4 linked regions of the Neodiprion lecontei genome follow. The protein of the gene in region 2 binds, or shares a complex with, the protein of the main gene of each other region. Links are inferred from orthologs where the notes say so. Each region holds a gene or a part of one and is shown on either strand. Other genes may lie near its edges.

Region 1 (8,023 bases), about 300 kb from region 2:
AAGTGTGGATGGAAGCTTGTAACGTGGAAGTTTCATTATCGCTTCTTGTTCCATCGTCACCTATTTGCACGCATCCTCCACTTGACGATCCATGTGTTATTGACTTGTGCAAGCCTGTCAAAGTTTCTGTTTCTCCCAAGCCAATCAAAAGAGGTATCTAAATGAATATGATATTTTGGACAATCAATAAACATATATGCTTTGCGCATAAAAGCATAATTATTATTTAAAGACCATAACAATAATTTCATAACATCTGACACTAAAATTAATACAAAATCTTATATCTATAGTGATTAAAAATATAGTCTTAACTTTCAACAATGTCGTACAAATATTTTACTACAAGACTTTCATACATGTTATAAAAAGAGACTTATCGGATCGACTTGTATATTGGGATAATCTTGATGAATCTTGATGTGGTCACAGTCGATTTCATTATCTCCAACTCTGGAACGAGCTTCCTCTGGAAAAGTAACCAATTGATTTCAAAACAAGTGAATTTATCAAATCATGTAACGATATTCAGATCATAGTATTCTGGGATTATTGTTTAATTTTGATCCAAGCTAACTATATTCTAAGGTATTTACCCTCAATTATGCCTCAATGCTATCAAATAAGTTTTAAGATATCAGCATTTTACATATTCGAAGTTGAATTGAGCGCGATATTCTTCTTGATACAAATCAGCACACTTGAGTGAATAAAATATGTTAATTTTTCGTATTGATATCTTTCTCAGAAACGCATAAAACATTTTAAGGATAATTTGCTTACCCTGAAAAGGGTGGTGGGGCTGCTGGTTCTTGTTGCTTCTGAGCTAAATTGCCAAAAGTTAATCCTCCTTCCTGAGTGGCAAGATTTTCAAAGGTACTACTTCCACTGCTTTCACCAAATACTTTCTGCATTGAACTGCTGCCGATACTACCGGAGTTAGCTCCTAATGGCGATGGCGTGCCAAACCCACCGAAAGCAGCTGAAACTCAGATATTTTTACTTGAATGGAATTGTTCACTGACAAAATATTTTTGACAAATATTCATCAACTAATTAGCAAATGCTTACTTGTAGGTTGTGTAGCACCTGAAAATGCAGTATTTGCAAATCCGCCGCCAAATATAGGTTTTGATGCTCCAAAAGTGGATCCAAATGCTGGCTTGGCACCAAAAGTTGCTGTTTGGCTAAATGCTGGTGCAGTAGCCGTCAGTGTTGGTGAAGTTGAGCCGATGTTAGTAGTAGGAGTAGGAATTACAGGTGCCCCTCCGAATATTGATTGATTTGACGGTGTAACAGTACCAAAGACTGATGAGGTAGAAGGAGTTGGAGCTGTACCACCAAAAATTGATGCAGTTTGGGGATTAGAAATAGCTCCACCAAACATTGATGGGCTCGTGGAAATTGTGGGACCACTTCCGAAAGCTGGTAGTGGTGTAGAATTAGCTGGAATACCACCAAACGTAAATGATTCAGCATCGGGAGGTCTGCCGAAAACGGAGGGTGTCGAAGAATTAACAGAGTCACCAGCAAATATTGGTGGTTTAATGGGACTGTTATTAGCTTTGCCAAAAATTGATGCCGGTGGACTGGTAGTTCCTCCCAAAGTAGGTGCACTTGAAAATTCAGTAGAATTACCTCCAAATATTGATGGAGTGTCGGAGGTGGTAGAAACATTACCAAAAACTGAAGCTGATGGTAAATTAGCGGAATTTTCAAATCCTGATGTAGCTGTGGATACAGCTGGTGTTTCACCAGAAACAGACTTCAGCGGGTTTGCAGCAGATCCACCAAAAATAGGTGCAGTTAGGCCAGTGGGGCTATTACCAAAAACTGGTAGCTTTAGCGCACCAGGTGTTGCACTTTCGCTGAACGAAGATATTATGTTACTACCCGCTGAGACCCCGCCAAACAGCGAAGACCCAGGAGGATTCCCAAAAATTGGATTTGCTGGCTTATCCTTCAAGATAGTTGAAGTTCCACCAAATATTGATCCAGGTGATGACGTCCCAACAGATCCAAAAAAGCCACCAGCCGCCACTGTTGTTGTTGATGTTACGTTTTTAATCGAAGTATTAGAAGTCTGTAAGTCCAACCCCATGACTGATAGATCCAACGACTGAGCTGTGCTTGATGTTGGGCTGGCTACTGATTTTGAGGCGAATGAAAAAGGCGTATTACTTGCAGGTTTAGTTGCAAATGAAAAACTCGCGATTTGTGACGTTGTTACGTTTACCGAAGTTGTAGTCGTTAATGCTCTTTGTGTGGTGACTGAACTATTTGATGTTTTCAGTGTAATGGGATAAGTCGACGCTTGGCTCGCTGGTGTTTGAACTGTTGACATAAAACTAACACTGGATTGTGGGATGGTTTGTATAGAAGTGGAAACTACTATTGGTGTAGTTGTTGAGGTAGATATTGTTGTAGATGTTGGCTGTGCCTCAGTTTTAGCAATAACAGAATTAAATGGAAGAGTGTCAATTTTTGAAAAAGGTTTATTAATAGCTGTGATTGTAGTTGGCATCAGTGCAGGAGGCAACAATGGCAATACCGATGATCTAGAAGCAGAAGATGTGAATGGAGATACTTCTGATATTGTCACAGATTTCATTCCACTGGGGATGCCAGTTATGGGTTTTTGAGGTGTATGAGGTGTAGGAGGTGTGCCAAATAGTGCAGCAGAAGTTGGCTTGCTTTGTACAGACTGTGCTGTTGATGGGGTTTGCGATGCTACTAATGTAGCAGCTATTCGTGCTTTGCCATCCACTTGTGGTACTTTGATCGACGGAAGAGAAATGGATGCTGTGGACTTATTCTGTGTGCTACTAGGTTTGACTCCAACTTGAGATGTTTTGATTGGTAGAGTGGAAGCAGGTGTTCCGATCAAGGCTGGTGCTTTATTCTGCAAATTAAGGTTTGGCTGAATGCCAACAGATCCAATGTTGGCGACAATTTGATCCAAAGATGCTAAGGGACTTTTTGCAGCTGGGATAGGTGGAGGTGCAGGTAGTGCATCTTCCCGCATCAGTTTTTCTATTAAGACATTCTTACGTCTCTGTACTTCTTTGGGTGGACTTTGCATTGCCAGAGAAGATATTGTTGCCTCCAAGCGATCCTGAATTTCTGAAGGGGTTGCTGCTTTAATTATCTTTATCGTGGTTTGGTTCAACAAATTCCTCAAAGTGCGTTGTTTCTCACAGGTAAAGCTGCAATTTCTCTGTGCAATTGCTTTACATTTGTACTCTATAGCACCACTAGGAGCTTTGTTATTGACGGATGAAGATAGAGACATATCGGCCAAGGATTTATTTAATGAAGAAGTAATATCTCTACGTGTAAGAGTTTTCCACTTCTTAACCTGAGCTTGAATCAAATTTTCCACTTTGGCAATAGATTGTGAATGCTGAAGCATGATTTGATGAACGAAATCAAGCCTCGGTACTTTCATTTTATTTTTTTCTTTATTTACATGCTCGAACCATTCGTAATCTAGGGCTCTTGCAGCTTGCTCCAATTGAGACTGAATATAATAGACAAGATTTTGCAATTCTTTCAGCTTATTATTATTTCCTCGATTTTGGGGATTACTTGAAGCTTTAGAAGAGCATTTAGATTTCGTTTCTTCCAGCCAGGCAAAAGTCTGCAATAACAAAGCTTTTAAGTAATTGATGTCACTTGTCAAACTAGTAGTTGTTTCCTGTAAATCTGTTAGGAAGCGTTGCATATTTTCAGATTTTTCAATAAGTTGCGTACGTTCGCCTGGCGAGCCGATATCTACGGACTGTGTTTCCCTACGACTACTCAGTTCTTTTTCAAAATCATTGCATACCTCCTCGTATGTCAAAACACATACGTTACTGTCTATGCTGACTTTTTCCGTCTCTTTTAGTTCCTTTCTGGGTACTAGTGATGTGTCTACTTTCGATGATACTTCAATTTTCTCAATAGGGGGTTTTGTTACAAACAATTCAGTTTGCGGTTGTGGAATAGAAACTTCTGAGGTCTTCGGAGATACGTTTGTGGTTACAGCTGATGTTGGTCGATCCATGATCGGCTCAATTTGTTTAGGTCGTGGAGTGCTGGTGACTCTGCCATCCAAATTAAATGATATTTCTGTAGGAGCAAGACTTGGGTGTGGTTCACTATACAATGGAAGAGTTTCAGTCGGAGGAGAGCAGACTGGTGGAATTCCTGGCATTAAATTTACCATATGAAAACTGCAGAGTTGCCCGGAAGTTCCAAATATATGAAGTATAGGTACAGGGTGGGGAAGCGTTGAGCCCTCTCCACCCCACGGTAGCTTGTTTACAGATGTTCTATCTACTGCTAGGCCAACAGGAAAGGTTTCATTAGTTCGCACAAGAGGTAGCTGAGCTCTTCCACTGTCAACTAACTGCCATTGCTGCCATGTTGTTCCATTATCTAGTGAGCCAAGAACAGCAATTTCACTACTGGTACTACTAGCAGCAATAATTAATCCCCATTCAGCAATATGTTCAAAATAGTATCGGGGCGGACTGCCCTCTTTTCCTTCAACATCGGGCACGCTATAAGTTATATCTTCATAACAAGTAAAGATGCCCTGAGATTCACCTTTGGGGGCATCTATAATGAGGACATTAATTCGTGAGTCTTGTGGGTCTAAATAGGCAGCGCAAAATTGGTAACTGCTGATCCATAAAAGAGCAATGACACTGCCGATGCTCGGATCAGGACCTGCAATGATTCTGGCTGCCTTTAAATCTGGTTTCAACTGTAGCAAACTTCCATTCTTGCTTCCGACTACTAATTGTTTTCCCTTGGGACTCCAAGCCACACAGAGCACATCTAACTTTTCTAGTTTTTCCAATATTGTCAGAACTGATGAATTTTTGTCAGATGATATATTAAAACTGCCTATAGAGTGATCACTTGTTACTGTACATAACATTCCAGAGATGCAAGGATTCCAACGAAGATCCAAAATATGGACATTATATGAGGACGATAATTTGATCTCTCGTAGGAGCTCCAATTGCTGTAAATATTCACATAGTTGTGAAATAGATAGATTGTTATTACAAGTTCGGACACAACAGTATCCTCAGTTCATATTTTGATTTTGTGGAGTAAATGAAATTATTTCTAGATTTTAAATCTACCTGTTGTACAACTGAAGCAGCATTGTAAATGTAAGCTGTGGGAGAATCAAAAACAACAGCTAAGTACGAGCAATTGCAATTAAATGCAAGGCAAGTAACTTTTGCTGGCATAACAAATTCCTTTCTCCATTCCTTGTCCAGACTGTGGCCACTTTTCAGGACTATGATTTTGTGGTCGCAAGCTGTGTAAATCAATCCACGTTTCCCATCTACTGCAATCAGGCTACAAGCTACAGGGATTGAGCTGAATCCATCTGATATTTTCCAATGTGTGGATTGTTTAAATTGAAATTCCTGCAAAAATGCATCATAACAGTTGTATACGCTACAGTAATAAATGTTAATTACTACACATGTACAATTAAAGTTGATAACTCTGAATTGCCATAATTTCAATGAATAGTTTATAGTGTAGCGTTACAATTAGAGTACACAATGATGGCAACTAATATTACATTTATGTTATCAATTGAAACTTTTGTTTATATTCATTTTATCAATCTAAGTTGAACTGGGAATTAAAAAACCTTGAGGTTATGATTGACGATTGAATTGTAGATTGTTAAATGGATATTTGAAAGACATGTATAGTAGAAAAAGCGTACCAGTACATCCTTAGGCTCCGGTGCCGCCTTCATTTTTTATATTATCATTAAATAAAGTTTTTGATTGTAACGTTATAGCGCCTTTGAGTAAAAATTGGACTAACCATTAACCAATCAATGAGGATGAAAACATCGAAAGTGGGATAGGAAGGGCAGGAGCTAGGTTGGCTGTGGAGCACGGTCTTATAGCGTTTTCCACTGGTTGCACTTGAGTGCGCACTGGCTCGAACAGGGGGCAGTCGTTCCGTGCATACGTCGCCCGGCATCGGGGCAAACCTTCTGAGTGGAACACGCCGTAAAACGTATAAAGGCAGACTGGATCATAATTTCTCCTAAATCAGAAATAATGTGACGTTACTTGACCGACTGCGCGACTGGCAGTTTTTCAAGTAAGTGATAATGAAGCCAATTGAACAAACGCAACGGTAATTTTTTGTTTGTAAATAAATGTCACAAATGTTAAACACGAGCATACAAGGGCAAAAAATATTGACAATTCCGCTGAAAAGATAAAAATTAATAAGCAGCAAGTCAAGTTGTCCCAATCTCCTGAAATATACCTAGCAGTTAACCTCTAGAAGCTGAAAAAATGTGTATCCATACTTCGATATCGGACATGCTGTGGATTACTCCTATGAAATTTAAAATTTTGGGAATCTCTCTATCTTTCGGCTCGAGCAAGCATCATCACTGCTAGACGAAGATGAAATTAGATCTAATAAAAGGGTTGCTGTCACAGCATCTACTTCGACTCTTTCACGATCTGCAGCCATAATTGCACTACTTTGACACAGACTCCCGATTTCAGTGCAATATTTTACGCGCTCAATGCTAAATTCACGCACCCGAGCTGTCAGTGGAACACGCTGGAAATACGAGTCTACCGCTAGCGCGCTCTCAGTTCACACTCAGTGCAACCAGTGGAAAACGCTATTACATACAGGTCTTGCAACGAACGTGGTGGGGGATGATCAGTTCAGGTCCGAAACAAAAGTACAACTTATGGCCACCAAGAGCGGCGCTACGAGTTATTCATAAGCTTATTATTATTATTTGACGGAACCCTAACCTATCTTTTTGATACTCATACACAAATAACCTTACGTTGTTATGTTATGAATAACTGACAGCGCTGCGTAGTGGCCAGTAGTGGCAAAAAAATTTGGACAATAACGCGGCTACCCCCACTACTCAAATTTCAGTTCGTTGCAAAAATCTGTATGTAAGACCGTGCTCTGCAGTCGCTGCAAGCAACGGACGGACCAGAAGCGTTGACTGAAGAATATAAAGACGGATACCCTTGGGTAACTTTTTGTAACCACTTTACGGCGGGCAAGTGGGCCCAGAGTGCGCCCTGAAAGCTTGAGATTGGCGTCCACTGCCAACCGCCTCCAATGACCATCACGACTACTGCCAACCACCCCCAATTACCACCGAGCACGTCCAAGCACCGTCAACCACCTTCGACCACCTGAGACCACCTTCGTCCTCCTCGACCACCTTGTCCCCCGACCACTGCCGCCCCCGCCTCGGCATCCTCATCGTCCACGACCTCTTCGACCACCGTCAATCACCACCAACCACCTCCAAACACCTCCTACCACCTCTACCCACCTCCTACCATCTCCGTTCACCGCCAACCACCACCTAACACCTCCTACCACCTCCTGTCACCTCGTACCGCCCCCTGCCTCCGTCGACCATCTCCGACCACGTTCTACCACCCCCTACCACCCCCTGCCAACGCCTAGCAACTCCTACCAGTTCCAAACACCTCCAACCACGACCGACCACTTCCGACCACCTTCGTCCTCCTCGACCACTTGCTCATACATATATTCCATGGCATTGATATTCATAATTATTCTAAGAACTATTTAGCTGTTTTAGCTAGTCGCAAGTAAAGTATCTACGTTGGGTAGAGAAGCAGAATTGTTTTTCGGAAAGTGTTTGTATGGAAAAAAATTCAGAGTAACTGTAATACATCACGGATGCGCTAATTTCGATCGAGATGAAATGGATGCTCCGTATATGAGACAGTATTTAATGCAGTATCCTGATTTGAAGATCTGAAAAGGTGACTTGTAGCATTTTGTTTCTTTTTTTGTGACAGGGAGAGAAAGAACGAAGCTTTTTCAAACTACGAGTGTATTTTAACACGCATTTGAAACGTACGAGCAAAAATTTTTATCATCCGACTGTCGCAGAACGGCAGCGTTATTAGCTGACCCGTTAACTCAAGAATATATCTTTAGTCAACGGCTGACCATCCTAGGG
Region 2 (7,748 bases):
TGTTGGAGTTTTACAAATTTTAAATAAGTAATATCAAACGTTGAAGAAAGTAAAATATATATATTAATACATGTATATGTACGTTATAGAAAATAGGAGTTTTTATTGAGTGTTTCTACATGAAATTGAATTACATAAATGTTGGCTGTTACATAACAAACTCTGTGAAAATATTGTTTTACGATATCATTTTATTGTTGTAATGCAATCTGTACAATTTCGAGCAAACAACTGAGGTAATTACTTCATTTGCTGATGTACGCAAAAAATAACTGGAACGTTTATTTCGTTCGGTAACAATATAATTATAATAGAAGTATTCGGAAAGATTCTACAAGAATATTTCAACCCCACGGAACTAGACGAACAGATCGTTTTCTTATAAGACAATATGTGTCAATAAAGCGAGTATAATTCAATAATGCTGTGCTGTATCTTACGATTTTTTCTTAAACTTATATTTTTCTGCCAACATTAGGTTGCGCAAATTACACAATAAGCATTATGGTGCCGTTGATAGAATCATTGAAAATTTGTCACAGACACGAGTCCATTTATAGAAGGGAACGGAGATTAACCATATAAATAAAAGAAGAAGGAAACTACAGTGGAAGACAAACAAAGAGTGCAAGAAAATTTTTTCGGAAAACTGGATAATTACGTGACGTTCCAGCCATGGATGGAGAAAGATTAAATAAGGACGTTTTCTCCAGCAATCGCAATATTTCTTATAGCCTCCGCTATAAGGAGAGAGGTACTGTCTAATAACGATTGTGCATGTTATGTTTCGATTTATAAATCAAGCAAGACGTAATTTGTACAAATTGTTCTCACTTTTATTTTGAATATCCGTTTAAAATTTTAGGCTATTGTCTAAATCATGCCGGAGTTATTATACTTTTAATTTTTCGTGATCTTACACTGATTCTTATGGAAAACAGTTAGGCATTTAAAATAAAAGTGAGAACAATTTGTATAATTTTCATTGACCTAGCACTATTTTGATTCACACGCCTATACATCCTTAAATAATTTAATTGGATCTTTTAATCGTTTTATTTAATCGGACATACTTTAGTAAATTCCACAGGTCCTGGTGACACAAGTCCAACAGTCGAGTTATGAGCTTGATGGGTCAGTATTATTTTATTAGCATATAATGGCAAACAAAGAAAGTAAATGTACAAATATCCTTGTCTACTTTCAAGAACCTGAAATTAAATTTCATGTATAGGACACTACGCAAATACAGTAGAAATTTTTTTCCATTAGAATTAAATTAAGTGGTTATTCTTCTCTAATTATGGAAAATATTGTAAAACCTCCCTGCTGTAAAATCATGCTATTGAAATGAGAGTAACTCTTCAATTCATAATTCAAATCATTAGAGCCAACGATAGGAAGATGCTTCAAAAAAATATAATTCTTACTATTACGTGAGATAAATTCGTCATATATTTAGTAACTAGTCGAGAAAAACGCAAATTTAAAAAAGCACAAAAGTCATGATTTATTAACAAAGTGTCTAATAATTGTAGTACAAGGTGCGTGCGTTGACTGAAGACTATAAGTCTTCAGACAACGGTGCGTGTAAATACTTGGTTATACATAAATAAACATATACAAGAGTGGTATCAATCTGTAAAAGCGGAGTTTGATAGTTCAATCTTATCCAAATTTCAAATATCTGTACATGATATAGGTATAGTACCGTGATTACTATCATTCAAATAAATTGCGCGCAAGTGACGTCACTGACGAGTAAGCAGTTCGATTGCTCGGGGATATTCATTATAACAAAACGACGCCGTAGACCTGACGAACGATTACAGAGCGCAAGCGTGCTTTGCGAGCCAATCATATCACAGAGTTGATCGAACGGCCAATTAACAGCTGGGAGTTTATTTCTGGTCGAATAATACATAGAATATCACTTTCGTGTGTGCGTGTTGTATGATAGAACTTCCGACTGTGTATTAGCCAGTGTTATTTGGGGTTATGTTTCTTAATTTGTACTAATTCTTTAAATAAACAAATTATCAAAATGTCCTTTGGTACTGGATTTGGGACTTCTACCCCCTCAGCAACACCAAATTTTGGATTTGGGGCGCAAGCTTCAGGCACAGCCACAGCAGCGAAACCGAGTAAGTATGAACTAGAACTTGGTGTATTTTCAAACAATAACCTAAATGACTACAAATTCATAACAATAAATTTTACTTATTAGTTCTAAATTCGCTGATGTGATCGGCACGAAAAAAGTATCTACGTTCTTACGAATTGCACTACGATGTGTTTAAGGCAGTAGAGAGCGATCGAATTGTCTGGGTAGTTTAAGCTTTACCAAAGATTGACCACGACACTCCGCTCTTTCTAGTTAATATGACATTTTTTATTCCAAATCCTAGCTCAGTCATAATCTCCAACCTATAAAATCATCCTCAGAGTATGAAACATCTATTGCGTTAGGTTACTTCTTGAGCAATTGATCCGACGACCGAGAATTCATATGTTTCACTGATGCTTCTGAATTCTTTGTTGATTGTCCGAGATCCATATCTTCTCCTGGGCACTCTTCGTCGCACGTCTCTTGATTTCTACCTTGCACTGTGCAAAAACCTTTCCTCCTAAGTCTGGCAAGTATGCAGGCAAGAACGCAGCATACTAGCACTAGAATTCCTAAGAGCAATCCCAAAACTATCAATATCGTTTGACTCGATTCGTCTGAAGATCCATTTTGACCAGATGCAATGGATTGCATGGTGGTGGTAGTCTGAGTAGTAACAATCGGCGTGGTGCTTTCAGATAGTTCATGCAGTATAGTGGACATATCGCCTATAGTATCCTGGAAATAAAATAATAAAGTACCAAATATTGTAATATTGAGTCTGAGAACAAAGCAAAAAATCTTCATCACATCAGTATTGCACACAAGTTATTATGTATATATATGTGTGTTTCATCAACTTTGGTTAGTTACAATGAGCAAGGAGTGCGGAATTTCTGACAATGACGGTAATCGAATATGTATAAAGGGAACTTTAAATTACTCCAAATGATTCCCCTGTGGTTCCCAGTTCATTTTCAAACTCCGTAACTTCGTCAACAGGACTAGTACTCACTTGGCGTGGATAGGGATGGGTGTGTTCATCGTATGAGTTATGATTTAGTTGCTTTGGATTAGAATTGGAAGCATGGTAAAGTATTTCCATTATTCTTATTGCGTTGCAATGGGTGAATGAGAAACTGAGGTAATTTTATGTTAATTGTATTGTAAAGTCAACAAACACATTGTTAATCTACATGGTATCCAAATTTTGAATCAGCTTAGTTGATTATAAAGCATGATAATAGTAGTACAATATTGATATACGTACCAGCCGTTGGTGTTTTACGTTTTTGGAAAAGCTCATCTTGATTTGCGAAAAATAAATAGTCACACTACGTTTACCTTCACTGACAGCTTTATAGTCATTAAACCCTGTTGATGCTTGAGCAGCCGAGAATCCCTCAAAGCTGGAACAAGGAAAGTATCAGCTTCCGACAACTTGTTGAAGTCACATTTAACCGGATGTTCGTGGTCGGTTTTTCCCACCACAGAGATACGTAGAAATGATGAAAGAAACATTATATCGTAGGCAAATCTTCGTCTTTTGTGCTACTTTATATTTTTCGCGATACATAATTTTAATAGATAGGAAACCAGTCTTACCAAATATTGTGTAAGAATTATACTTCATCAATCTAGTCAGAATTACAATTCGATAAATAGAACTTCAGAAGAAAATTAATTTCATGTTTCTTGACATCAAAAACTTGGTCACGTTTTGACATTTCCCCTAGAAATCTGTCTACATATTGAAATTGTTAGACACACCTGGTTGTCTTTTGTCGAGCGCTGATTTTTATTACCACGTCATCCATGATTTCTGGGGAAAACATCTGACGGCTTGGTACAATTGCCTTTATAGCGAACATTTGATCTTTGAACTCTGATGTAAATCGGAAATTTTCATAATACACTGGAATAAAAGTTCAAGGATGCGGTTGACACTTCAGAATATTACATTGCCTCAGATGAGTTGCTTTTTGCATATACATGAGACCCGGTCTATTCAATTTCCGAATAGTGAACATAATTTTATTATCTGCAACTAGGGCACAATGCTAAAATTCTTACATGACAAGTTTGAAAGATTTAAGAAATGGGGTATTTATTCACTATGAATTTAATTTCTGTACCAAGTCCATTAAATAATACAATACGCTCACACCCGCCAACACATCAAACTATTGAATAATGTGTAAAAAGAGACAGCAGAATTATCACACTTGTAATTTAGAAATATAGTCAAGTAATAATTTGTTTTTTAATTGAAAAAAGTTTGCTTCGAAGAGTAATTCATTTTATTTATATTATCTTAGCTGGTTTTGGTACACCATCGTTTGGATTCGGCACTCCGGCTACATCAGCACCAGCTCTTGGAGGATTTGGTACCCCTGCAACACAGGCACCTGCCTTTGGAACTAGCGGTGGCTTTGGTACATCAACAGTCGGAGGATTTGGAACACCAGCCACGAGTACGATAACATTTGGCACTCCAGGTTCATCTTTCGGGTTTGGGACAGGTGCAGGATTTGGTGGTACGCCAGCAACTTCATCTACGGCATTCAGTGGATTTGGGACAACTGCGACTACAAGTTCAACAGGTTTCGGTGGATTTGGTTCGTTCCCAACCATGGCGACATCTTCAGCACCGAGCTTATTTGGTGGCTTTAGCACATCAGGCACAACAACAACAGGATTCGGCACAACAGGATTTGGTGGATTTGGTGCTAAGCCAGCTGCAATAAATACAACAGGCTTCAGCAGCTTTGGAACAGGTTAACTGAAATCCGAATTTGGAAAAAATATTAGAAATAATATATTTTCCAAGCACCCTGGAACTCTTGTACTAATCCAATCTTAATGCATTCAAACGCTAGAGGAGAAAGGACAGATAATTATATTTTAATTGCCCGTACTTGAAATATCTTCACCACTATGAGAGACATGATTTTACCTAAGACGTTATTTTTCAGGTTCTGGTCTTACTGGGTTAGGAACAACTCTTACCCAACCGCAACAACAGCAGCAACAGCAACAACCGCAGCAACAATCTGTGAATGCGATATCGGAAGCACTTTATAATGCAGTATTTAACTGCCAACTTTTTAATGACGAACGTGATAATACCATAGCAAGATGGAACTTGATCCAAGCATTATGGGGTACTGGAAAAGCTTACTACTCGTCGGTGGCACCTCCTATAGATTTGACACAAGAAAATCCTTTGTGTAGATTCAAAGCTATTGGTTATAGCTGTATGCCAGATGCAGATAACAATGATGGACTGGTCGTTATTTGTTTCAACAAAAAGGAACAGGAATTAAAAGATGGAAAACAGACGTTGATTACATCACTCAACACCATTCTCGGAAATAAACCAAATTTAACATTAACTGTTGATACTATAAAATCGACAGATGACAATAAAAGTCACGTGACAATCTGCGTATCTGAAAAAGGTGTGACAGGATTGTCTAGGAAAATTCCGGCAAACGAGTTAGTTAGTTTCTTTACACAGACTATGCAAAAACAACAGCTGGCCCAAATGGGCGTGGAAAACATTTTTCCACAGGTTAAATTAGACCCTAGTCAACTGAAGGAATATTTGGATAACCCACCGTCGTCTATTGATCCCAGATTATGGAAGCAAGCGCAATTAGATAATCCAAACCCAGAGAAATATATTCCAGTGCCAATGATTGGGTTCAATCAAGTTAAATATAGATTGAAATGCCAAGAAGAAGAAACAGCCAAGCATAGAGCATTTCTAGACTTGGCTGCAGAAAGAATTCAAAGTTTACAGAGACAACACACTGCAACTCAAGCAAGATTGAAAGAACATCGACGAAATTTACTCGAGCTGCAACACCGAGTTTTACAGGTGAAGAGGATCTTGATAATTTTATTTCATTCTACTTCTACGCACTGGGTGGGCCAAAAAAACCGGACCGAGTTAAAACGTGAATAAATTTCGAACGCATCGACCAATTTTCGAAACTCTTTTTACTCGAAATTAAAAACATAAACCTTTCGTTTTGTGTTCGGAAATCTAGAAAATCTTCATCCTTGCTGAGATACACGATTTTGAAAAACAGATTTTGCAAAATTCGCTGGGAGGATAAAAAAAAATTATTATTAAAGAATGTTTAGCCTAATTTTCATCTTAAATTGTGATTTGAAGTTCAAATTTTCAAACGCGAAACAAATTGTTTATTGTCCTAATTTCAAGCAAAAAAGAAAATTTTCATAATAAAGTCAATGCATTCGGATTTTATTCACGTCTAAATTTGGTGCGATTTTTTTTTACTTACCCCGTATACTGGGCCATTTCATTTGGATTCGTCAAATTTTTTTTACCATCATACTGCTTTACTTAATGTAATAATACGTTTCATAAATGAATTTCTAGGTGCTGGTTCGTCAAGAAATAACGCGCAAGGTTGGGTTAGCATTACAACCTGAAGAAGAAGTGCTAACAAATAGGTTTGAAGCAATGCATTCGCAAATAAGTGCTCCGACACAGTTTAAGGGAAGAATCAGTGAAATGCTTTCACAACTGAGAATGAGACGGCATATGGACTCTCAAAACCACGAACGATATACTATGGATCCTATTGCCCAAGACGATATTAAAACCGTGAGTATATTTCATATCTTTAGTACAAAACTTAGTTTACTCTTCCTAATTATGAAGTTATCACAATTGCAAGACCAGAGTCAATTTTGTGGTCAACATTTAAAACTAATTTTTTGTTTTTAACAAAACTGATCAGTATCAGCTTAGGATGTACGAGACAAGTGTATCCTTACATTGCTTTACATTCGCTAATATCAATTAATATGTATTGTCCTTCGTTGCAGTATTTAACTATGGAACAGCAAGGAATGTCTCAACTCATTTCTACAATCAACGCTGATCTGGAGTGCCTGAAAATAATTAAGGATGGCATGTCCGATCTCCTCACGAGTCACAGCATCTCTTGAAATACAGCGTATCGTTAATTATCGTCAAGTCTTTTGAAAAAAAATGCACCGGTCATGCAATTTCCAAGTTGAGATGGTGGAAACGAGGGGAAGTGGCTTTCTATCTATTACGGACAATTATGTAATAAACTTCTTTGAAACTGCTGTAATTTACCGTACTTGATTCGTAATAATGCCGGACATCCGTCAGCAGTGAATTTCCCTCCCTGTTTTGAAAGTGAATTCATTGCTTAAGCAAAGACTCGCCACATTTATTGAACCGTCGCATACATAACCACATCCAATTCATAAATGGATATTTTCCACGCCTTATAAATGTATCGGATGTGTGTTGATGATGAATAATTGAATCAGCGTAAATCCCTTGTACGATGTGTGTAAAAGTTGGTATATCAACTATCATTTTGATATATCACACTGTAGTGGGTACGTGACTGACAAAACCGTCCCGCTTTATAAAAATTTTTCTTGCAATGATGAAGTATCATGTTCATATTCAGACTACTTTGATGTCGTAAATCAAAATGTTACTCATCAAAATTTAAAAGACATTTATCAAAGTCTGCCACATTTATATGAATATACGTGTGTGTACAGCTATGATGAAGCGACTATTTACAGCTATTTGAAATAGCAGAATTTACAATACATTTCA
Region 3 (4,548 bases), on a different chromosome or scaffold from region 2:
TTTATACGATCAATTATCACGATAAAACTGACCCTTTATTATGCCCTATTATACAAACGACAGACAAATACTTTCGTCAATTTTCTTACGTTATTACGTAAAGAATTTCTGTATTGCCTACATTGCCATGCAGTACACACGCGTTTGAGTCTAGTGTCAGATTCAAATATACTTTTATGACGCCTTTATGCATCGAAGAAAATTTTTAATCTTCTCTATTTGAATTGTTAAGTAACAAAAAAATATAAAAAACTTGACAGATTATTTTATACCAGTTAAAGTAATCCTCCCCCTTTCGAGACTTGTCTTTTAAATTATCTTCACGATTGCGAAAAAATATGCTTAAGCTCGAAGTCAGTTACATAATTTGAATTTTCGAACGTGTACTCTTCACGAATATATATTGATAGTATTCTAAAATTCGTATTATCATACCATTAGCTTTTATTTCATTGGCAAATGGTCTGACGCATCTTCTGACGTTGGACAAGAGAGAAACAATAGAAATGCGTACTTGTATAACAAGAATATTTAATTCATACCTACAATTACGGGTTTCGTATAAAAGGTATGTATACACAACAGCGGTTTCCTTAACGATATTAATTATAGTATCGTAATCCACTTCAAAATTCACAGAATTTGATTATCGTATTTTTATTCAATTTGAATTCAACGATGACAGTTGCGGGAACGGATTTTGTTTTGAAATGACCAATTTTTTGTGCTGATGAGAAATGTAACCCCTGATTTTACCCTCGTAAATTAAATTGGCTACAAGGCATTCCGTTTCGTCCATATCTACATCGTCAACACCGTGCATTTCAAGAGCAGCCAAAAGACTGGCTACGGGTATTTGATGGGTATTTAAAACGAGATAAACCTTTTTGAACAAATTTCTATACGTAATGAGCTTCAGCTTTTCAACTATTAAGTAAATCCCAGCACTAATAAAGAAGATCTCATGTTTGTTCATCACTTCCTCCAAGCTGCGTAGGTTTCCTCGTTTAACAGCTTCGACCAACTCCCAAAATTCCAATAGATTGTACTTTTCTAACAATGATTTTTTTGGCATATAGCCCAGCAGCATTTTGACGGGAACTAAATACGTCAGAATTAAACGTTTGTTCTTTGCTGATTCTTTGTGGCAACGGACAAAAGCGTAGGTCAGATATTCGTCCGCTGTAACACAATTTAATAACAGGCATTAAATAAATCCACTCTTTAATTTCATTCTAAAAACATCGTTACCAGTTAGATAAAATTAACATCATCTGTATTATACATTTTCAACATTTTTTGATTTAGAAAAGCATAAGTGAAACATTTTTTAATGCTGAGTAATTTAAAAAAAATGAACAATAAGCTACATTTCCAGTTTAAAAGTGACTGTCAGTGGAAAGGCCTGCAACTGACTATTGACGCTTACCAGCTGTGTAATCACTATCGAAAATGGCTTTGCGTCCCATAAAAAATTTATACGTAATTTTTTGCGCGAGCGCGAACTGATCCTTAAGACCGGACGATTCAATGATCCTGATTAGAGGTTTGCATAAATCGAGTTTGTTTATGCGAAAATAGACCTTCCACAGTTGGTTAACCAATGCGAGCATTCCCCATCTTTTCGTGTCATCTTCAGAGTTCCTGTTGTCAGCTGCACAAACTCGAAAACAGCTCATTAGGCACTCAGCACATTTTTCAAGCACCTCACCGGACTTTTGATTTTTACCAAACTTGGATGCTTCAGCTTTAAGGGCTAGACGCCTGAGATCTAAGCACATGGAATTCATTACTGGCAACATCCAATTCTCGTCTTTTTGTAACTGGAGTATCTTTGCCAGTGACTGAATAGCTGCACTCTGATGAGCATACGACGTTAATGCATCGTCTTTATTTAATGACGATATGACCCTGGAAAATGTTTATCAAAAATTTAATTATTTTTGCTTAATAATATCTCTGAAAAATATTCTACTTACTTTATATGGTGTAAAACCAGGTCGTCAAAGGGTGCTGATAAGTGTTCCATTGCTTTTGTCATTGCAGCATCGCTTCCAAGTTGAGGATTTGTCGCATGATTATGACTAAGCGACAGCAGATCCTGGATTAAATAACATCAGGTATGAATCAGGAAAATCTTCGAATGCATAGTGACGATTATGGGAAAATTACAAATGTACTTACAGCCAGAACGTCACCGTCCTGATTCAACCAAGCGCGCCGAAGCTGTAAATAGAGAAATTATAACCTCACATCTTTCAGTTGATATTAACCAGTGATTGGATGGGCGGTTGAACAATTTTTTTACCTGCATTATGTATGAATCCATGATAGATTTTTATATTCGGTAACCAGGTTAATAAAGAACTGCCAATCACATCTGTTGAAAGTTGTTTTCTCGCGAAATTCCAGATATAAATACGTTCTGTCTATACCGTGTTGACAGATTACAATTCACAGTTTATCAAGTTTATTTTTTAGGTTATGGAATGGTTCTGAATATCAATCCATAGTCGTGTTCTTTAGTACCGGTATAGCCTGTTAAAACATGCCGACGGTGAGACGTATTGTCGGTAACATTATTATCGATCCGAATCCCATCTATGATGTTGATATTTCAAGAAGAGATAGTTGGCGATTCGTGTCTCATACCAAATTTCTTTTAAAACATATTCTATTACATCCAAGATTGTTAGTGGATCGTGAAAACGTACGTGAAAAACTAGGGTGGAAAATCGAAAAACTTCCATAACCTTCCGTTCGTGGTTTTCAAATCTACACATGCCGCTACAATATCTGATTGCGTTGTGCGCAAATGGCGTGCGCAGCTTTGCATTTTAGTTCCTAACCAATAGGAATGCCAATAAAATAGGTAATTCGCATGCAGCGTGCACTTGGTGGCGTTGGTTCCCTGCTTCACCGGCATTCCTATTGGCCAAGAACTTGGCACCGTAACAACTCAGCCTATGGTTATATTCCCTTCCCATTCTACGGGCATCGGATTAGGTTAGGTTAGGTGAGGTTTGAATTCTGAACGGTTGCAGCTGGTGTAAATTACATATATATTGTATAAATGAGCAGATCAGTAGGAATGGTTTAATCAACGAGAAGAACAATGTCAGTACAAAATATGACAATGAATCTATCGAACAATGCTCGATGTTACACATCAAGTGAGTATAACGTATTCAATACTAGAATATATTTTTTAAACGTAAAATAATCGAACTAGTTCACCGACGTTAATCTGTTTTGTTTCCTCTCATTGAGCGTCGGAAATAATTATGGAACCTTTTTCAGAATCCAGCGGCAAAAAATATCCAATATTTAGTATCCGTGACCTTGTGCCAGGTCACACTGGACCGGAAACATCTGAAGCTGCTATGGCTCAAATAGCCAAACCTCGATCGGTGGGTTTAAAATTCAGGAAATTTTAAATGTTAACAGAATCCATTTTTATAAAGTCAATTTTGCTGAAATATCCAGAGTAAGAGTTAATAATATACAATTTTTTACTTTCAAAGCTGACTATCAAATAGATGCGTAGGTTATAGATTTTCCATGTTTGTTTTTGTTCTTATTTTCTGTCACGTTCAAGTATGTTTTCAATTTCATGTTATGGTGTAGATAATGACGAGAAATAATTGAATAGATGGTGTTTATAGTTCGAATTCTATATTTGGACTGTCTGCTATATACATTCCAGAGTCCCATCGACCTTTGACTTGCGGCTCACTTACACTTTGCGAATGCTCTAGACACACTCTTATACATGTACACTACAAATGTAATATTAACAGAATTGACTGTCGAGAGTTAATAGTTACAACTGTATATTTTGTTATTAATACACAGGAGAGAAAATGCCAACCAGTGAGAATATCTATGGCTTATTTCAATGATCCATCGGACCGCAGAAATACTGGATCAAGTCGCAAAACTCCTGGTCAGTATTGCTCGATAGAACGTTTCATATCTAGCTGGTACAGATAAATAAATATTCAATGCAGAGAAGTTTGTTCAGTTTTTAAAATTTCTTTTCAACTTGCATACATGGATTCTTGGAGGTCTCATTTTTTTCCTTTTCCTTTTATAAAAATTGTAGCTTACCTTACATTCTTGTACCGTACCAAATGACTAAGACTGGTAATGGTAACAAGTTTCCTTACTTCTGCAGGTCGACCATTGCCGCAACCAATTCGTAATATTCATAAGCTGTTTGAATCACCCAAAAACAATGCCAGAAAGAGACTCGATAGTTTATACGATTCTTCGAAACGAAATGAAAATTTAAATCATTTAAAAAGAAAAAGTCGACTTCTGATTGGTAACAAAATTGTGCCAAGGTTACCTGATAGCATCGCAGCACGTGAAGCAGAGCCCACTCGAAAACCGAGCACAGTTAATCCTAACGGAAATTTGAGATGCAGCAGACTATTACCACCGGGATCCATAACGAGTTCTTTTATTAATAAGCGAAATTCAACGGCAGTAAGATCTTCGATTTATAAACCTGTAAACCATGTCCTTGTTGATCAGAAAAATGTG
Region 4 (7,514 bases), on a different chromosome or scaffold from region 2:
AGTCTTTGCCTTGATCAGCTTGTTTTTACTCGCCCGTTCGCGGCCAGCGGCAGTGGTCGATGCAGGCTGGCTCATCGCTGCTTTTTCGCGCGAGCTTTGACCGCCGGGTGGCCCGTAAAACGTTCGATAATTTAATCGACTACTCAATTCGAAGAATCTACGCCTACTTTTGTATACGCTCCAGGAGAATGATTCCAGAGGGATAATCGCCCGGCGATACAACCGAACTGCGTTACAGCCTTCCAAGTTTCAACTGACTAATCGAACACTCGAGTTCCGCGGAGCTCAACACCTCCGACAACGAACGAGCGCCATTACGCGTGCTCGTTACACGTCCGTTTGCTCGGCGACGCCGCAGCTCTACTACGATCGCAGCCTTCAACCAGGAGCTCGAAAGGTCGCGCGGCGATCGCTCGATAAAGTCGCACTCTGCACGCACCGACGCTGCAGCGGCTGCAGCCAAATTTTCGACTGCGCGCGGCGACCCGAGCTCGCTAACAATAAAAGCAATTAGTTTAAACGATCGCAATGTCTCTCATAAACTCGCTCCCTCGTCGGCTAACTGCAAGGGCATGAATCTTTCAACCAGCTTTTGATTACACCCGTGTATTATAGTTAATGTTTTGTTATCTTTTCACAGAGTTCATTACACCTCGTAAGCGAGTTTCGAGTAGATTCAGAGGTTCAGGGCCGGTTGTAATGTGATTGGTCAATTCTAATCAGAATCGTTGTTTCCGACTAATCTTTCGAGTTGGTTGAAGCTATGATTGGAAACTTCGGTCAATGTTAGAAATAATGTGACTTGTACACTTGAAAATCAATAGATAATACAGAATCAGATGTATCTTTACAACTCCATAAGGATTTCTACTGCGGCTTTGTCAAATTTTATACTACATTGTAAATCACGCAGTCTTACCACATTGGTTATCTTAATTGACCTGACAAGGCATAATATTGAAATTAACAAGGTGACATACGTATTGCATACACATGAACAAGAATAAGACGAGTCATGATTGGAATATGGCTTCCATAATATTGCTTTATTCGTTTAGAGTGAATTCCGAACTTTGAAAGAACTTTTAAATGCCGGGTAGAAACCTGCATAAGACAGATTAAGCAATATTCAGTGTAACTGCTACTTGCAGCACTATTTCTACGATTGTAAAGATTTTATAACTACGACGAATCAATTGATTAAATCGCGTAAACATGTGCAGATCATATGCACACAGCCTGATGCTTATTGTTAGTTTGAACGTCTTCAGAATAAGAAATTAGTTAGCAATTACTACACATCTTAAAGTTTGGACCAGTAAGAAATGTCTGACAATGATTAGTGGTTTAATCTTTTTTTTTTCGACAGCGTGAGTGAAAATCTTATGAATTATTATCGTTCCACGTCCCCACAAATAATCAACTCACTTCACAGCATTCAATTATAGGTCTATAACTGTAAGGGTTAGGAATGTTATCAAATGTCTGATAATCGACGATTTAGTTACTCACATGAATAAAACTTGGTTGATGTAAGCTGGGGTAAATTTCTAACAACTTGTGGCAATCGGCGGCCGAACAGAAGTCGTGTTACAGCTGAGGTGGTAGCCATTTTCCAGTATATCAGTCAGTCGCTAGCGCACGGGCATGCAAAGAGCGAATGAGCTGATACCGAGCCGGCTCAGAGTTCTGATTGTATTAGAATTACCGTTACGTAAAGAGCTATCACGGCTCTTACGAAACTCTATACTGACTGATAAGAACGCACCAATTGCGATACTCGGCTATTATACTCGATACTATCGCAAAACTGACAAACTACAAACCATTGTTACTGTTGTTGACGAACTTTATTGCGTTCTTGTCATCTTATTTAAATCAGATGCGATACACTCATTCAAGGCCTTATGTCATCCGTCGGTAAAACAGTTATAAACTTTCAATTTGTCCGATAAATCATAGATGTCAGTGAAACCGGAATGGTTACCTTCCTGCTTTGAACGTTAAAATTCGTTTTGAGTTGTGAAAAGATGATCGTGAGTAACAATTAGGTTACCGATTTCGTTGATGAATTTATGTACTAAATTCAAAAACAACCGGTGAACTAAAGCTCACGTTCAGTCATGGCAGAAGTCAGCAACGCTCAAATAATTGTAAGCACCTCAATATACTTATTGGCCCATGCGGACTTACACCGGGTTTTGTTCACGGAACAATCCTGATATATATTGCTATTTTGTCAAATATATTACTTACAGGCTATACCAGACGACGTTTGCAGAAGAGCAGGCCTGGCTGCGACCTGGATCGGCCAAAATAAAATCGGAGTTCACGCGTACAAGCATATTAATGCACACTCGAAAGGTGAGGTTACGTTTTTTAGCGGGTACCGCACAGAAACTGTTTTCTGCAACATCGATGACTCAGATGTATACGGTTTATTTTTTGTCTATAGTGAAAATGCTAATTAATATTTCCATCGGCTCGTTTGCAGATGTTCCAAGCAGTCTTGCACCCTGTGAGGTTAAAGTTCATTGCTTACGACAAGAAGTGATTTTGTTCGAGCCGGCGCTTCGCAAACTAGTCAATGAGAGCAATGGAGTGTTTCTTGCGATACAGAAGATTAAAAATTCCACTGAAGACCTTAGACCTGAGCTTTTGAAGTACAGCAAACACTACAGGTCCATATTAAGAGCCTGTGTAGAAAATCTGCAAGATGTTGTTGAAAAGTCAACGCCAGACAAAAAACCGACTTTTGAAAATTACTTGACTATTTTTTACAATGTCGAGTGTGTTTGGCACCTGACAGAGATCCTTTATGTTAATGTCGTCCCAGGTATTGCTAATAGCGCAGTCAAAATTAATTCAAACTTTTTTTATTTTCCAATTAATATTTATGACATAACTACATACATGCCCTAATTTCTTTGTAGGAGATGTGATACTTCCACAGCTGTTGGAGTGGGTGAGATTTCACTTTCCATCTAGAGAATTAATGGCCTCTAAAATACTTGCAAAGAAAAGTCTTGCTGCCGATTTGGATAATGTACAGTACTGGGAAGCAGCGATAGGATGCGCTTTGCACGGTAAACTCGATACCGTTCGTTCATTGTTAGCTATGCACAGCAAGGCAGATAATCCTGCTTTTGGCACTGCTGAAAATGCTATAAGGACAATGCCTGTTTACAATGTATATGGGGGATATTCTGTAAACGAATTTAACATGAGATGGAAGCATTGGCAATTTGACCTCTCTTCGCAAATTGAAAGCAAAACATTTTCTACAGACCGAAATTTAGAGTTACTAATGAGGGTGAGATTTCAATTTGTCTCCGGCTGGAAGCACAGATAAGAACATTAGTTTTTATTTTTGTGTTTTTTTTTATCAACAGCTTATCGTTGGCGAAGAACTTGTTCTTTGGGAGTTTTCAAAATACACGGAAGCATGGTATGAGTTATTGGCTGCACGTTTATTTTACTCTGCGCCCTGTAGCAAACAGCCAGAACTTGCTAGACATGCAAATCATATTGCAGAAAAGTGGCGTGCAGGCAGGTATTTGGATCATGTAATCTTAGCTCTAATGGAAAGTGATTTGCATCAAGTAATCAAGGAAATTCAGCATATGAGCGACAATGGATGGTTTGCAGCACATCTGATCAACTTGTTGTACAACTGTGGAAGGCTAGACATCATAGACAAGCATCAAATAAAGTAAGTTTGACTTGATTTCTTATGGGATTACATTTATTTTCCAGGATACTTGTATTTGGTGATTTTCATACAAGGTACGTGAAATCCAATGGTAAAATAAAATTACGTTTTTTCAGTGTTACCTCACAGCTTCATGAATCATTGATATTAGACTATGCCAGTACTTTGATGGGTCATCATTCACTGTGGCAGTGTGGCGCTAGCTACTTTGAACACTGTCCTGCTCAAGGATTAACTAGATTGCAGGCATTGTTAGAGTCCATTCCACTGGGTAGTGAAGCACGAGTGAATAAAATTATCGAGATTGCTCGTCAAAAGCATATGACCAATGTTGGTACGTATAAAGAAAATAAACTCGCAATTTTCGCATTATTTCAGACCTCAATAAATTGAATAATCTTTCATGATATAATTTTAGTAACCAGCGTTTCCAAAATACAAGGAATGAAGTGTATTAGACAAGGACGGCTAGGAAATGCACTTGCCTGGGCATTAAAGGCACAAGATGGTGCGTTTGCTACTTTTATAGCGGACCAATTTCTAAAAAACTATGCCAAACACGGAGAACTCGAGTGTCAAGACCTTCTAGAGAATTTAGGAAGCTGTATGCTGATCAGCGACAGACTTACGTTTCTTGGTTTGTATAGTACTGTACAACAGTTGATTGTCTATCAAAGTTTTCGAAAACTACATCGAAAGCCAAATATCAAAATTTCGTCCTGTTTCAGGAAAGTATTGTGAATTTCATCAAACGTATGGACTAGGTGAATTTAAAGATGCTGCTGCCTTGCTGGTCTCGTTACTGGTCTCTAATTTAACTCCGAAATAGTAAGTGACTCAACTTGACTAATTTCTAATCCCCCTAACGGAAAAGTGTTTATGTGATTAATAAATTTGCAAATCGTTTCAGCTTCTGGTCGATTCTTCTAACGGATGCAATTCCGCTTCTGGAAGCAGAGGATGCTGTACTCTCATCTAAGGATACTTTCGAACTACTACAAACTGTTGAAGAACACGGCAACGATCCGAAATTTCAAGACAAAATCGACCTTTTCCGACTAGCAGCGGCAAGAAACTTGGCACGAGCGTTGAATATAGAAGGCTGCTTAGGGGATCATTGATATATATTCGTAACGACAAATCGAAAATGAAACCTGACAACTTATGTCGAAAACTCGGTTCTAAATAAATTTTATCATTAAATTCGGTCTGAGTAGTCAGATATTCATTTGTTGAAAGCAGGTATTTGACTCTTTAAACAAAGGTCAAAGGAAAACAATATCGGATATTTGCCGTCTATACAGCTGAGAGCTCAATCACTGCCATTTTTGAGATAAGCCTCAATAAATGCACGTGCGAAATAGGTACTCTCCCTGGATGTTCCAGTATTTTAGTTCATTTGTAAGATATAGTTTTGTAACATTATTTCATCGAATTTTAATTAAAGAAATGTTAAAAATGATACCATTCCCTGTCTGTATATCCTCATGCACCGTTATGTTGTGTGGATGTGTATTCAGTAGCTTGGCTGAGGTCAACCGCATCATAATTAATCCAAAATTAATGTAAATTCACAAAAAGCAACTAGTACGTGAAGCTGTACTATACAAGGTTATTTTGGTTAGATGTACGAAGTAACCGTATGAAGCTCTGAAGTTTGCTCTTACGTAAAAAACACGTTTAACTCAAACGAAAGTTTTCTGCAACTATATTCAGCGAAGTATTAATTACTTACTTATTTTTTTTTGAATTTGAATTATTTAATACGTAATTTATACCAGATATATGGTTTCATTTTTCCGGCGCAAGGTGGCCGATCGGGAAAGTGACATCATTGGTTAAAAAACTGCAATGTGGCGCCATCGTGGCTCCGTGAACGAAGACTTTTTAAGTAGTTGCACGACATGCTGCAAATTTGTGTAATCACCTGATGTGTACCTAGCAACAAACTTCATGTGCAGTGACAGCCTCCAATCCGACAACATGAAATAATTCTGCCAACTTTCTGTTAACTTTCGATAATTCTTGTGAGTGTTTACTTTTTCGTTATAGAGAAGCTTATGTATTACAAAATTTTAACAACATATAATAATGACAGGTGAACACTTGTTTATTTTTACACCGTTTTGTATTTCATGAATAGGTGATCATTGGCAGCCCTACAATATGTTTATTTATAGAAATAGGCATAGATATGAATATGTGAAATAATGTTGATGTAAGTTTAGACATTTCACGAAAATTAATAACTTTGATTACTGGTTTGCAACATGTTATATCAGTGATGGTAGTAGTCTCATTCAATAATAAAAATTTTACAATGACCACAATACCTGATGTACATATTTTCGATATCAATTTATTTCCTAGTGTTCTCGATTAACAAATTCCGTAAGTAGTATTTTAATGTGTGTGGAGACCAACGAGTGGACCAAACTCTGCCATAAAAATGCAGGTATAAAAACTACATGATGTAACTTTTCACTGACGTTTCAAATATTCATTCCACAAGATATCACCTTTCTTATCGGTCACGTATTGTACTGTAGGAAGTGGTGTAATGACATCACACACAATGCTAACTATACTTGAAAGAAATGTTTACATCATAACACGATACTCGTAAAGAATTCGAATAATAATAAAAACAATCAACCATATCAAATTGATCACTGATATAAGTAAAAAAAATTTTCACCGACATTTTTGTGTTTCATTACAGACATAACAATTGAAATTTCAAATTAAATTGAAAAGTATATCTGACGCAAACTCCAGTGGGGATGACAACTTACAGAGCTCTTTCATCATTTAGCGATTCCTGTTAAGATAGTAATGAGTGTGCCCTCAATGGTTTTTTACCGAAGGCTCTTTGGATTTAAATATTGGAAAATATTTGGCATAGGCGTTCGCATATTAGGAAATTCTACTGCTGTTGGGAATTGAAAAAGTGTTTAATCAAAGAAAAACGTGTTTCACAATAAATTAAGAATAATAAAAATTAATAAGCACCAAACTCGTCAGAGTTACTGACATCCAATATGACGTCGGCAACATCGACTACTTCAACAATGCCCATACTGGCAAAGGAAAGTTTTCCTACTTCTGCAATGGACTATGCTAGCATCAGGGGAAAGGTATTTTACCTTGTATAAAGAAAATGTTCAAATTCAAGATATCTTGATGTCGTACAGAGTTAATTTTGCTCAAACTTGCAGGATGTCCTTGTTAGTCCAACAGAGGATCAGTACGAATTGCTACTGAGACGACTAAGAGAAAGAATTCAGGATGGCGGAAGTGAGACGATATTTGACATCGGTGTTGGGGAAGGTGCGTCTTAGAAAATTTCTGTTTACTGCTTCCTTTACTTTCATAGAGGTCTTCATAAATACTCTCAGGCCATTTTTAAAAAGAAAATATGGTTGTCGGTAGTAAGAATACTAGAAACATTGTTAGTGCGCCCCGAAAAACATCTCTTCTTTCTCTGAACTATATACTGTTTTTCCGAGTAGATGGTTCTGAGAATGGTCTGAAAGAGGATGAGTACGATGCATCTGTAGCCACTCTGCAGTCTCTGGCAGCAACTTTGGAAGCAGACTGTGTTCTGCTGAGGCAACGAAAAGTGGATCTGGGACTCATAGGACAATATTTGGTCAGAAGACGCTTAGACCAACAAGATTTTCTTGAAATAAGGTATAAAAACAGTTGCCTCACTTCTCCTCATTTAAAATCATTCTTATGTAATGCCAACAGAGTTCCTGTCATTTTGCAGTAAATCAAACTTATTTCTCTGTCGATTTCT

The links.
Region 1: nuclear pore complex protein Nup54 (region 2) and nuclear pore complex protein Nup214 share a complex: the UniProt entries of both Drosophila melanogaster proteins name them as parts of the nuclear pore complex. The link is inferred for Neodiprion lecontei from reciprocal best matches to the Drosophila melanogaster genes Nup54 and Nup214.
Region 3: nuclear pore complex protein Nup54 (region 2) and PCI domain-containing protein 2 share a complex: the UniProt entries of both Drosophila melanogaster proteins name them as parts of the nuclear pore complex. The link is inferred for Neodiprion lecontei from reciprocal best matches to the Drosophila melanogaster genes Nup54 and PCID2.
Region 4: nuclear pore complex protein Nup54 (region 2) and nuclear pore complex protein Nup85 share a complex: the UniProt entries of both Drosophila melanogaster proteins name them as parts of the nuclear pore complex. The link is inferred for Neodiprion lecontei from reciprocal best matches to the Drosophila melanogaster genes Nup54 and Nup75.

The regions. Positions count from the first base shown.
Region 1 is NC_060262.1:33,074,769-33,082,791, forward strand, and holds nuclear pore complex protein Nup214, read right to left. Parts: upstream 6,013-8,023; coding exon 5,851-6,012; exon of another isoform or gene 5,780-5,850; coding exon of another isoform or gene 5,747-5,779; intron 5,436-5,746; coding exon 5,142-5,435; intron 5,018-5,141; coding exon 1,072-5,017; intron 983-1,071; coding exon 784-982; intron 729-783; exon of another isoform or gene 470-728; coding exon 442-469; 3' UTR 333-441; downstream 1-332. Other genes in the region: integrator complex subunit 4, read left to right, coding at 1-161. UniProt on the Drosophila melanogaster protein: Part of the nuclear pore complex. Serves as a docking site in the receptor-mediated import of substrates across the nuclear pore complex including emb, RanGAP and phosphorylated Mad. Protects mbo/Nup88 from proteasomal degradation at the nuclear pore.
Region 2 is NC_060262.1:32,774,706-32,782,453, reverse strand, and holds nuclear pore complex protein Nup54, read left to right. Parts: upstream 1-1,834; 5' UTR 1,835-2,044; coding exon 2,045-2,144; exon of another isoform or gene 2,145-2,470; coding exon of another isoform or gene 2,471-2,845; intron 2,846-3,377; coding exon of another isoform or gene 3,378-3,413; exon of another isoform or gene 3,414-3,534; intron 3,535-4,425; coding exon 4,426-4,884; intron 4,885-5,082; coding exon 5,083-5,990; intron 5,991-6,518; coding exon 6,519-6,746; intron 6,747-6,970; coding exon 6,971-7,093; 3' UTR 7,094-7,242; downstream 7,243-7,748. Other genes in the region: uncharacterized protein LOC107226633, read right to left, coding at 2,471-2,845, 3,378-3,413. UniProt on the Drosophila melanogaster protein: Component of the nuclear pore complex (NPC), a complex required for the trafficking across the nuclear envelope. Essential for the nuclear import of nuclear localization signal (NLS)-containing proteins in an importin alpha/importin beta-dependent manner.
Region 3 is NC_060264.1:4,179,583-4,184,130, forward strand, and holds PCI domain-containing protein 2, read right to left. Parts: upstream 2,765-4,548; 5' UTR 2,330-2,764; coding exon 2,309-2,329; intron 2,227-2,308; coding exon 2,185-2,226; intron 2,102-2,184; coding exon 1,980-2,101; intron 1,912-1,979; coding exon 1,430-1,911; intron 1,183-1,429; coding exon 662-1,182; 3' UTR 515-661; downstream 1-514. Other genes in the region: uncharacterized protein LOC107227510, read left to right, coding at 3,116-3,173, 3,301-3,410, 3,856-3,946, 4,178-4,548. UniProt on the Drosophila melanogaster protein: Required for the export of nuclear mRNAs and involved in mRNA trafficking in the cytoplasm.
Region 4 is NC_060264.1:6,092,031-6,099,544, forward strand, and holds nuclear pore complex protein Nup85, read left to right. Parts: upstream 1-1,913; 5' UTR 1,914-2,123; coding exon 2,124-2,153; intron 2,154-2,258; coding exon 2,259-2,364; intron 2,365-2,494; coding exon 2,495-2,836; intron 2,837-2,933; coding exon 2,934-3,313; intron 3,314-3,392; coding exon 3,393-3,712; intron 3,713-3,828; coding exon 3,829-4,046; intron 4,047-4,130; coding exon 4,131-4,358; intron 4,359-4,440; coding exon 4,441-4,540; intron 4,541-4,622; coding exon 4,623-4,833; 3' UTR 4,834-5,379; intron 5,380-5,589; exon of another isoform or gene 5,590-5,810; intron 5,811-5,854; exon of another isoform or gene 5,855-6,167; intron 6,168-6,434; exon of another isoform or gene 6,435-6,753; coding exon of another isoform or gene 6,754-6,849; intron 6,850-6,930; downstream 6,931-7,514. Other genes in the region: uncharacterized protein LOC107225458, read right to left, coding at 1-75; GTP-binding protein 1, read left to right, coding at 6,754-6,849, 6,931-7,042, 7,225-7,405. UniProt on the Drosophila melanogaster protein: Component of the nuclear pore complex (NPC) that seems to be required for NPC assembly and maintenance. Required for nuclear import of phosphorylated Mad via importin msk.